3 linked regions of the Ovis aries genome follow. Each later gene encodes a partner of the first gene's protein in a complex. Links are inferred from orthologs where the notes say so. Each region holds a gene or a part of one and is shown on either strand. Other genes may lie near its edges. The genes, in order: B9D2, CEP290 and TMEM107.

Region 1 (3,751 bases):
TGCTGGACAAAGAAATGATCCTAGGAGGTGGGGGCTAATACAATCCTCATCTTACAGGTAAAGAAACAGACTCTGAGAAGGAATGGCACTTGGTCATTCATTCCACAAACCTTTACCGAATACCTTCTCTGTGCCAAGCACTGTTCTCCATGCTGAGGCTACAGCAGGACCGCAGCAGACCAAGTCCCACAGTGGTGCTAATTCAAATGGAGCTCTGGTTTGTTTCTGGTTTGTTTGTTATTTGTTTTTGACCGCGCCTCGAAGCATGCAGGGATCTTAGTTTCTCGACCAGGGATCGAACCTGCATCCCCTGCAGTGGAAGTGTGGAGTCTTAACCACCAGCGAAGTTCCTCAAATAGAGTTCTGACTGATAGCAGAGACCAAGCCCCTTATCTGACTGCCTCTCGGCTCTCTCTTGCATAACTAACCTCCTCTCCCTGGCGAAGAGCCCCCTGAAATAATAAAAATCATGTTGGTTACTGCTCCCTTCTGGGCCAAGTGAGGAAAGCAACAGACCCTGAGTCAGGATTCTCACATACAAGACTTCCTGACACTGCTATGAAGGACAAATAGTCCCATTTTACGGACCAGGAAACTGAGGCAGGGTCACAGAACAGATGAGTGGTAGGGCGCTGGAAACCGAGTTGATTCCAGGCTTGTCTTATTCACTCAACTGGAGGATCCCAGTTTCCCAGGGAATCTCAGCCACTAGTCTATCCACCAGCGAAATCACAAAGGACTCTGGACCTAAAAAGATGATGATGGCAATGGGCACACTCATTTCATGGACATGTATCTCTGCTAGACAACATATCCCAGGCTTAGAAACAAGAGCCCATCCAGCTGTTACACAAGCCAGGCAACACTTACGAGGACTTACAAATCCAGGTTCTCTTCTAAGGGCTGTTGATATTCATGTAGTCCTCACAACAACCCCATGAGGTATACAGTGTTATTATTCCCATTGTACTGACAGGGAAATCAAGGCAAAGACAAGTGCCCAAGGTCACATAATTAATAAAGAGGAGCTGGTTTTGAATCCAGGTAGTCTCTGCTCTTAACCTCTTAGTACTCTGCTGCCTCTTAGGTGCTATTAGCTTCATTTTCAGACAAGGAAACAGGCTCAAAAAGGTCAAGTCCAAAGGCTCCCAATTAATAGGTAAGAGAGTTTGTATCTGAGCCCAGACTTGGTGACCTGTGGCCCTATCACACTAACCACCAACCCTCTACTGCCTCTGATGGAAAGGCATGAAAACTGGGACCTCCACGGTCCCTCTTGGGCTTATGTGGATGGACTTGGATGACGATCAGAACCAGGTTCCTACGTTTTCACAGAGAAATATGAATACAGGAGGGTGGTCTCTCGTCTTAGTTGCAAGATGGAAACTTCCATTTCACCTTAAGAATTCAATAAATGGAGATGGCAAAGCAAAGAATTAAGATGGGGGAGTCACCCAAGGCCAAAGCACCTCTAAGACAGTGAATGGAAGCCAAATAGTGTTGTTGGGGTTTTAAGTGTTTTGAGGATTGGGAGTGTGTGCTGGGGGTAGGCGGGTGTGTCAAGCCTATAGTCCCCTATCCTTGCTGTGTGTGCTAAATCACTTCAGTCATGTCCGACTCTTTGTGACCCTATAGACTGTAGCCTACCAGGCTCCTCTGTCCATGGGATTCTCCAGGCAAGAATACTGGAGTGGGTTGCCATGCCCTCCTTCACGGGATCTTCCAGACCCAGGGATCAAACCCATGTCTCTTATGTCTCTTGCATTGACAGGCAGGTTCTTTACCACTAGCACCACCATAGGAAGCCCTCAGGGAATGTGTATTGAGAGACTGGAACTCAAGAGTTCCCAGAGGTGGGATGGGAAGGGATAAGAAGGGAGCCTGAGACTCGCATGAACAGAATGTGGTCAGGGATAGGAGTCCTGAGAACTGACGGAAGCTAAGGACCAGGGATTGAGCCAAGGGGTCAAGGAAAGAAGGTGGAGCAGCTAGACTGAGAGGTTTCGGTGGGGAAATGAACCATGTCGGGGAATACCTGTGTGGACGCCCCACTTGCAGAACAGGCTACTTTCCGAGAAACCGGTGGCCCCCATGATCTGTCCGATCACGTGCACCTCAGCCATTGCCCTGAAAGGGGAAAATATAATCACAGCCTTATGAGAAAAGTGTACAATTATCTCCACCTAATAGAAGGGAAGACTGAGGCCCACCAAGTAAGGAGCAATACGTGGGATTCCAAGCTAGTTTCGTCAAACCACTGAGGTTGCGGTTTCAACCATGATACTAACTGCCCCTCCAGGAGAGTCTCAGAAAAATGAGGGGCGAGAAATGGACGCTCCAAGGAGCTGGCGCGTTACTCTGCCTGCCTCTAAAATAACTCCCTAGGCTCAACGCCGCGGAAAGTCCCGCCCCAGGGGCCCAAGTGGCTCCGCCCACAACACAAAAGCTCCTCCTCCCACGTCAGATTTCCGCCCCCCCAAGTCCATGAGGCGCATGCGTTGCTGGGCGCCTTAGCTCCGCCTGTGAGTTCGCGCATGCCTTATTCCTACCTCAGAATACCTAACGGTTAGGAGAGGCGAGAGCGCTGGCGGGGATTGGAGTTCATGGGCCTGACCTGTCCCTCTCTCCGCAGGCGCTGACTTCCCAGGTCTGGCTCACGCCTTTCCTAAGACACTCCTGGCAGCGAGAGAGCTGAGGCGCAGATCTCTCCGAGACCGCGCCCGCCTCCTGCCTCCCAGGTTGTTGCTGGGGCAACGGCAGCCTCCTCCCCTGGCCTTGCACCCGCCCTGCGGGTTGCTAATTGGCCCTAGCGGCACTTGGCGGGGCGGGACTATGCTGTGATTGACATTTTTTCTTCCCCACCCGTTTCCATTTTTGGGTAAGAAGTCTCTCCAGCCACGACCCAAGGTTCAGCCATTTGCGGCGTGGCCCGGTTGTGGCCATGTTGTGCGCGGCGAAGAAGTTTGAACACTGTCTGTCTCAGATATTCGTATAACAGAATAAGCAAATCCATCCATGCCCCATTACCCCTCAAACTGTCTCTCAACAGGGACCGCAAGACAGACTTGAGCCAGAGCTACGGGGGAATCTCACAAGTTTGGATGCATCCCTTTGCCTCCTAACTGGAAATAAACTTCATCTGGTTGGCGGGGTTCCTTTTTAGAGTTCCCCCAAGCTCCTCAAAGACTGATAAATCCAACTTCCTTCTCAGAAATACCGCCCATTTCTTCATTGTTAGTGCTGATTCTGAGCAATGAGTGGGTGGGGTGGGGGAAGGGGTAAGAGAAATGAGGAACTGAGGCCACTTTATCTGCAGAAAATCCTGTTTTTGAAGGCTGGACTCTGTCAGTAACAGGACCCTGCACAGCTCTAAGTCTCAGTTATCTCATCCATGTCATGACCCCAAGTGGAGTGACTGAGTCAGGCACTCACGTTCTGATTTCCTGAGCAGTACCTTCTCCACCCTCCAAGTTCAGTTGAACCTTAGTTCCTGCCTTATTCCTCCAGCCCAGACCAGGAGTCCAAAGGGAACTTATTCCCCTACTTATTGTAAAACGGGAACAGCAAAAGTTAAGAGTCACCAGCTCAAAGTGATAGGGAGGGGGGCAACATTTCAATAGGATAGTGTCGTGGATTGTGTGCAGGTTAGAAAGGTATTTCCAGACATGAGGCAGAATGAGAGGAGGATAGAGTTTATTCGGGAGGGAGATGCCCTTAGAACAGCAGGCCTACCTCCTGACAGAGCAGGGAG
Region 2 (3,651 bases), on another chromosome or scaffold:
TTAAAAAATTATTTTAAATGTATTTATAGTAATATGATTTTCATTTTAGTTGACATCTAAATATATTCAGTTTATACTATTTTCTGTATAATTTAATAAAGAGAGATCTGACCATCTATTAACCAAATTTAAGACCTAGATTAAACTAAGAAACAACTCCTAGTTTACCTTCAAGCCCTTTAACCACCCACGAAAAGAAGTAAACTAAAAATTGATCCAGAGTTTAGAACATATGCTTCAAAATAAAATATAAAAATAAACAAGGATGAAAACAATTCTTGATCATTGAAGGGAGGGAAACACATTGCTCATAAAGCTACAGTCAAATGCTCTTTTGGTTTCCTTTCATGCTAGCAACTGATGAGTGTGCCCAAAAGTGATAAGTAATGACTAAAAGAAGAGTGATTTCAAATTAGCCATACCTACTGTTCTTTATTGGCAAAACAAAGACTAAAGAAAAGTAGAGTAGAATAAGCAACAGATTCATCATTTTATGCTTCATCCTCATTTAAAAATATTACTTATAAAATTCCAGAAGTATACCCAATAATATACTTATCAAAATGCAAGGAGAAGAGGGCAACAGAGGATAAGATGGTTGGATGACATCACCAATGAAATGGACATGAACTTGAGCAAACTCTAGGAGATGGTGAGGGGCCAGGAAGCCTGGCATGCTACAGTCCATGAGGTCACAAAGAGTCAGACAGGGTCAGACTTGCCAACTGAACAACAACAATATGCAAATTCTTCTAATTACCTCTTCCAGTGATCTGCAAGTTGCTTGGGTTTCTAGGATTATTCTGATATTTTCCTTAATTTTTCTTAGAGCAATCTCAAGTTGATTTGGAATGGGCAAACTAGGGTCTGGCATTGATCCTGTAGCCTCTTCAAACTATTGAGAAATAGATTTTTTTTTTAAAGAAGAGCAGTTGCAACATTGGAAATAACAATATTAATTTTTACAACTATATGACAAGACATGGTTAAATTTCACTTATAGTTGACACATAAAAAGATATCATCAATTAAAATTCCAACTCAGCCATAAAAAAGAAGAAAATTGGGTCATTTGTAGTCATGTGGATGACCCCTACAGTCTGTCATACAGTGAAGTAAGCCAGAAAGAGAAAAACACATATCGTATATTAACACATATACATGGAAGCTAGAAAAATGGTACTGATGAACCTATCTGCAGGTCAGGAATAGAGACACAGATGTAGAGGACGAACCTGTGGACACAGCAGGGGAAGGAGAGGGTGGAACGAATTGAAAGAGTATAAATACTACCGCATGTAAAATAGATAGATGCTGGTAAACTACTGTATGGCACAGGGAGCTGACCTCAGTACTCTGTGACAACCTCGAGGGGTAGGATGTGGCGACTGGGAGGGAGGCTTAGGAGGGAGGGGACGTATGTATACAGATAGCTGCCTCACACTGTTGTGTACCAGAGACTAATGCAACACTGTAAAGCAATTATCCTCCAATTAAAAAAAAAACAGAAAAATAAAAATAAAATTCCATCCAACCTTAGAAAACATTTCTACTGGTTAACATTATAGGTCCTGCTATAGAGTAGCAAATAGGATTAATCATTTATACCTTTTGCGCTTCACTTAGTATTTCATTTTGCTGACGGTCAAAAACATCTAGTTGACGTTCCAGCTCAACTTCTCTCTGATCCCAGGCCATCTGTCTTTCTTCATGAAACTAAAGAAGGATAGTTGGGTCATGCACACACAGAGACACTCACCAGGCCTATGAGAAGAACTTTTACATACATTTTTCTTCTTTAATCCTCACAACAACCATTTGAGGTCACTGTTATTATTTTCATTTTAAGGAAAAAGGAAGAAAATTCAGAGATTAAGTAATTTTTGCCTAAGATCACAAGGACAGGCAGGTGTGGAGTCAGGATTTCAACCCATCCATGTACCCATCCATTTATCCATCCATCCATTCATTCATCCAAAGCATGTTTAATGACACAGTCTATGTGGCAAGTACTATTTGAGACAATGAGAACACAGCAATAAACAAAACCAAGTCCCCTTCACCACAGGAGTTATATACTACTGAGGGGGAGATAGTAAACAAATAAGTATGTCATATGTCCGAGGGCGATGAGTGCTATGGAGTAAAATGAAACTAGGTAATCCGTATTTAAGGAATCTTGATGATAAAATTTACTGTTGTGTGTTGGGTAACTAGTGAAGGTCTCATTGATAAGGTAATACATTAGAGGTAAGATCAGAAGGCAGTGAAAGCAGAAGTAATACTGGTATCTTAGGTAAGAACAATTTAAGCAGAAGGAACAACAAAATTTCTAAGGCAAGTAAGCATCTGCTTAGTGAACTGCATCTGTCTCCAAAGCTTCTGTTCTTTATTCTATACCAAGCTGCCTTATTCCTTCAGTGACAGCAGTAGAAACTTGTAAAGGTGAATTCAAATAACCAATAGTGAAACAAAAATTAACTTAACAAATAAACTTGTTTATGAATTCTTCCTTTTAAGACAACTAATGCAACTAAATAAATGAATAATGTATTTTTAGAATAGTTTAAAAAATAAGAAACAATATTTTATAAGAATGATAATAGAAGCTATACTTGATTAGGAAAATAAGGCAGTCATCAATGCAATGTTGTTATATTAAAAATCTTAGCAACAAAACACCAAAATAAATATAAAATGAAACCTTATTCTGTTGCACAATTTCTTCCTCCAGACTACGGATTGTGTTCTCATATTCAGAAATTATATTATTCAAATATTTTATTTCTTCTTTATCTTTGACTAATTCTCGATTGAGTTTAAGCTCTTGAAGACGGAGTTCTTCTATTTTTGTGTGCCAACTGATTACCTAAATATTTATAAATTACATATACAAATGTTAATACTATATTAATAAATAATGAATTTCTCTACTGATTTTAATGATTTCAATTCAAATTAATGGACATTCTAAAATAAGATATAAAATTATTCTTGGTTGTACCAAAAAGAAAAGTTTATTTAGAATTTCTATAGACTTTTTTAATATGTAGACTCCTAACATAAAGCATTTTTCAAAAGATGCTGAAATGGATATCACTAACAATCACATTTATTTATTCATTTACTTTCATGTATTTGTTGGGTCCTTAGTGTTTGTATGTAATTGCAACATTGGTTTTACTTTCATAAATAAAAATCCCAAATGTTTCTAGCCTAGAGAATAAAATTTAATTTCAAAATAATTATTTTTCATTAATTCCTTCCAAATAAGAGTAAAAACAAAATTACATTAAAAAATAAATGTAGGCCTACTACTTGTTTAATCACTATAATGTTTAAGAATAATTAGTTAGTATTTAATTAATATATACTTTCCTAGAGTGTTTAAAATTCTTTGATACTACAATCTAAGCATTTCTACTGAAACTATGGCTTAGAGGAGTCTCATTTTATTTATAAACAGATATTCTAATAGCTCAAACTCCTAATTTATAAAATCTAAATTAATAAATTATATCTGGAATTTTGCTCATATATTAAGCATTTTCCACATAGGCACATATTAACTCAAAATTATTATGTAACTCTTCTGAAAATTAAACTCTTCTGAACTTAAAATCAGTGTTTTACCTTTTGGGCTCCCCTGGC
Region 3 (3,751 bases), on another chromosome or scaffold:
TCCGGCGAGAACTTTCCGTTCTACAGGAATCACCTTTAAGGTCCGAAGGTCCGTGAGGTCCCAATCGTGAGAAATGCTTGGACTATAGCTGGGCAAAGAGACTCTGCTGGTCACACCTCCAAGAGATAAGGAAATCGTAGACTCTGAATTTCCGCCTTCGACTCTTGCCTCCCAGGGACGCGGGGTTTCATTCTCTTCCTCCACTCCCTTTTCTGGTCCCGTACGTCCACTTCCTTCCCGCAACACGCCTCTCATCCACACCCTAGTTCAGGAGAGGGGCTCTTTTCTGTACTCTGCAAATCCCTCACCAATCTGAGCGAGCTGGGTGGGTGGTTGGGTGGGGAATCAGAATCAAGGAAAGTTCAGGTATACGGTCCGCCAACAACCAGGGGCTCCAGGACAATAAAGGGGCATCCACCTCTCCAAGTTCGGCCTAGGTCAAGGAGAAGCTACACGGATGCGGGGGATGGAAGAAAAGACAGTGTCCAGGGCTCGGGCATGTTGACGCCCTAAGGCTGGAGTGGTGGTGACTGTGGTGTCTGGAGGATCATCTTGGGCAAAGTAGCAGGGGCTGGGGGCCAGGCCGCTCCCGGCATGGGGATACAGGGAGGAGCGAGTGTCCGAATTTCCGTTCGCCAGTGCTGTGTGGGCAGACTCGGCAATGGGGGGCCGCGCCACAACACACTCTCAGGCTGTGCAGACAACTCATCTGCACGCGGGAAGGCCGGCAGCTCGATTCTCCGCATCCGGTCGGGATCTGCACAGGTATTGTGGACCCGGAACAAAGTTTCCCAGAGGCCCGGAGGCGGCGCGATAATTTGCCGCTCTCGCGAGACTTTCAGAGGTCCCGTCGGAGCCATCGTTTTTGCGGTTACTAAGGCAACTGAGCGGTGCCAGCGTAAGCGGGAAAGCGGCGTACGTCGAATTTTTGTCTGCTAGCTTGGGAGACTTGAGGAGTGACCCTCCTTGAGCTTCCAGCCCCAGAGACAAACGGCCTCTGCTCCAGGCGGTACCTCTTCCCCTGGGAACCATGGGCCGGATCTCAGGGCTCGTGCCCTCTCGCTTTCTGACGCTCCTGGCGCATCTGGTGGTCGTCATCACCTTATTCTGGTCCAGGGTAAGACCCAGGGCCCTCTTCTCGTTCCTCCTTCCAATTTGGGGTGGTCCCAGCCCCACTCCACCCTTTCTCTCCCGGGGCCTTACACGGTGGGGTCTTCCCATATCCAGCCGCCAGACCCTCTTTCAACTTCTGTTTCTTTCTGCCCTGCTCCCTAGGACAGCAACATCCAGGCCTGCCTGCCTCTCAGATTCACCCCTGAAGAGTATGAGAAGCAGGACATTCAGTGAGCATGTGGGACAGGGTGGGCAGAATTAGGCAGTAGAGGGAGTGAAGGGGTCTTAGAAAAAGTTCAGAAGGCCTAAGCCACTTCCTTCTTTTCTGCAGGCTGGTGGCAGCGCTCTCTGTCACCCTAGCTCTCTTTGCAGTGGAGCTGGCTGGTTTCTTCTTAGGAGTTTCCATGTTCAACAGCACCCAGAGCCTCATCTGTATCCTTTCTACGTGTACTCCTTTCCTCCTCGCCCTTGTCCACCATAACGCCCTTCAGCCACTTAACTAGGCCTTTCTGGCACAATGGCGTTTGCTCTAGCAGGCAAACAGAATCCCTCCTGTGGAGAGATGTTAGGCAATGTGGAAGATTTAATACAATCTCTGATCACTTTTTGAGCTCCTGCTACTCACCAGGCACTGGAGATCTCAAGATGAGAGTACAACAGTTTTCTATCTTGAGGAAGAGGCAGATACACAGACATCTGCAATTCAGTGTGATAAGCACGGGTGCCATCAGATGTTAAGATACAAAGCACTATGGGAATGCCGAAGAGACAAAGGAAGTGAGGAAGATGGATCAGGGAAGGCTCTCAACACCAGGGTACTGGAGAGTGATCCCAGCAGTGTATTGTGTCACTGTGAGCATGTCTGTGTGCTTGGAGTAGATCAGGAGTCTACTACTTCACCTGAAGGATCCAAACTAGATATGGGATGGAGGTAGCTTGGTTTCCCAACAGGGCAGGCTCAGCTCTGGCCTCTACACATGGCCATCCTAAAACCCAAAAATCTGGGCTGCTGGCTCTGGCCTTTGCAGTGTGGTAAAGGGAGCAAGAGATGCCTTGCTCACCAGGAGCTGATTGTGAATGCAGATGCCAGGCCCATCACCGGCCTTTTCTGGCTCATCACTACCTGTTGACCCAAAGGCTTTCCTTGACTCTGGTGTATTCCCAAGCCATCGGGGCTCACTGTAGTGCATCTGTGGCCCTATCCTTCTTCATATTTGAGCGTTGGGAGTGCACCATGTATTGGTACATTTTTGTCTTTTGCAGGTATGGTAGCACCTAATGTTTGAGGATGGGGAAGGGAGGTTTACTTTAAATCTGAAGATTCCCCTACCCAGCCCTTTGTTCCATGTGTAACATACCAGATCCACTCAACATTCCCGAGTCTTTTTGAAGTCCTCCACTCCTACACTTCAGGGGGTCGGGGGGTGGGATCGCTGGCTTGGGGATCTGGGTATTTTTATTAGAAGAAACTCTGAACCCATCACCTGCCTTCCTCAGTGCCCTCCCGGCTGTCACCGAAATAACATTATTCATCAGCGTCTTTGGCCTGAAAAAGAAACCTTTCTGATATCTTCGTGACTGGAAGTAGGGATGAAGGCTGAAGGAGCGAAGGACTACTCACCCTTCCTGGAAGAGGGAGGCTTCAGCCCTCCTTCTAACACTGCGTTTGGTGAACGATGTCAGTGTTAGGGTAATTATCTCTCAAGTCTGGGATTATCTGTGTTTTGTTTACAGTCCTTTGTAATAAAATATATTTTAGGGTAAGATCAAACTTACAGGAATTCCTGCAGGAATTCCCTGGCTGTCCAGTGGTTAGGACCCCACGCCTCCACTGCAGCGGGTTCAGTCCCTGGTGGAGCAACCAAGATCCTGAATGCTAGGCAGCGTGGCCAAAAAAAAGAAAAAGAAAAAAATCAAGACAAAAATTTCAGGAGAAAATTGGGGTGGCCAAACTACTATAGAAACGGAAGGCTGTTTTCCAGCCTTGCACTGTAAGACCCTAAATGTCGCTTCTATTCTAGTTATTACGGTAGATTTCTGACGGAAGGGAGTGGGCGGAGATATGTAAATAAGGTTATACTTTAGTACCTCGAGCTCTTAAAGTGAGTGAAGCATTCTGGGAGGGATTAGCGTTTGCTTTTTGACAGCCAAATGGAAAAATTTATTTTAAAACATCTGCAAATAAATTGAACAACAGAAGTGGAAGAACCTGGATAGCTTTAGATGGCTCGAACTAACATGTCGTTTACTCACCCTACCTGTTAGCGGAGTCTTATTACCGGAGTACGGAATATTGCAGTCCTCTCGGTATCGTCAGGTAGGATAATCCTTACCTGTTCCTCCTTTTGGAGGGCAGAATAGAACATGATGATTGGAGCTCGCATGATTCGTGATTAACGGCTCTGCGTAATCAGGACTTGCAACACCCTGATTGCTCCTATCTGATTCTTCCTGGCGATCCGTGATGTTAATGTACTTTACGATTAGATTGAGTTTTTAGTACTGTCTCCTTAGTTGTACTTGAAGTAGCGTCGGGCACGACTGAGCGACTTCGCTTTCATTTTTCACCATGCGTTGGAGAAGACAATAGCAACCCACACCAGTGCTCTTGTCTGGAGAATTCTAGGGACCGGGGTGC

The links.
Region 2: B9D2 (region 1) and CEP290 share a complex: the UniProt entries of both Homo sapiens proteins name them as parts of the tectonic-like complex. The link is inferred for Ovis aries from reciprocal best matches to the Homo sapiens genes B9D2 and CEP290.
Region 3: B9D2 (region 1) and TMEM107 share a complex: the UniProt entries of both Homo sapiens proteins name them as parts of the tectonic-like complex. The link is inferred for Ovis aries from reciprocal best matches to the Homo sapiens genes B9D2 and TMEM107.

What each region holds. Positions count from the first base shown.
Region 1 is NC_056067.1:50,068,642-50,072,392, forward strand, and holds the start of B9D2 (B9 domain-containing protein 2), read right to left. Parts: upstream 2,748-3,751; 5' UTR 2,550-2,747; exon of another isoform or gene 2,542-2,549; intron 2,128-2,541; 5' UTR 2,124-2,127; coding exon 2,036-2,123; intron 1-2,035. UniProt on the Homo sapiens protein: Component of the tectonic-like complex, a complex localized at the transition zone of primary cilia and acting as a barrier that prevents diffusion of transmembrane proteins between the cilia and plasma membranes.
Region 2 is NC_056056.1:124,381,180-124,384,830, forward strand, and holds part of CEP290 (centrosomal protein of 290 kDa), read right to left. Parts: coding exon 3,634-3,651; intron 2,870-3,633; coding exon 2,705-2,869; intron 1,717-2,704; coding exon 1,609-1,716; intron 896-1,608; coding exon 761-895; intron 1-760. UniProt on the Homo sapiens protein: Involved in early and late steps in cilia formation. Its association with CCP110 is required for inhibition of primary cilia formation by CCP110.
Region 3 is NC_056064.1:27,637,222-27,640,972, reverse strand, and holds the start of TMEM107 (transmembrane protein 107), read left to right. Parts: upstream 1-873; 5' UTR 874-1,030; coding exon 1,031-1,117; intron 1,118-1,275; coding exon 1,276-1,343; intron 1,344-1,444; coding exon 1,445-1,545; intron 1,546-2,279; coding exon 2,280-2,376; intron 2,377-2,610; coding exon 2,611-2,680; 3' UTR 2,681-3,751. UniProt on the Homo sapiens protein: Plays a role in cilia formation and embryonic patterning. Requires for normal Sonic hedgehog (Shh) signaling in the neural tube and acts in combination with GLI2 and GLI3 to pattern ventral and intermediate neuronal cell types.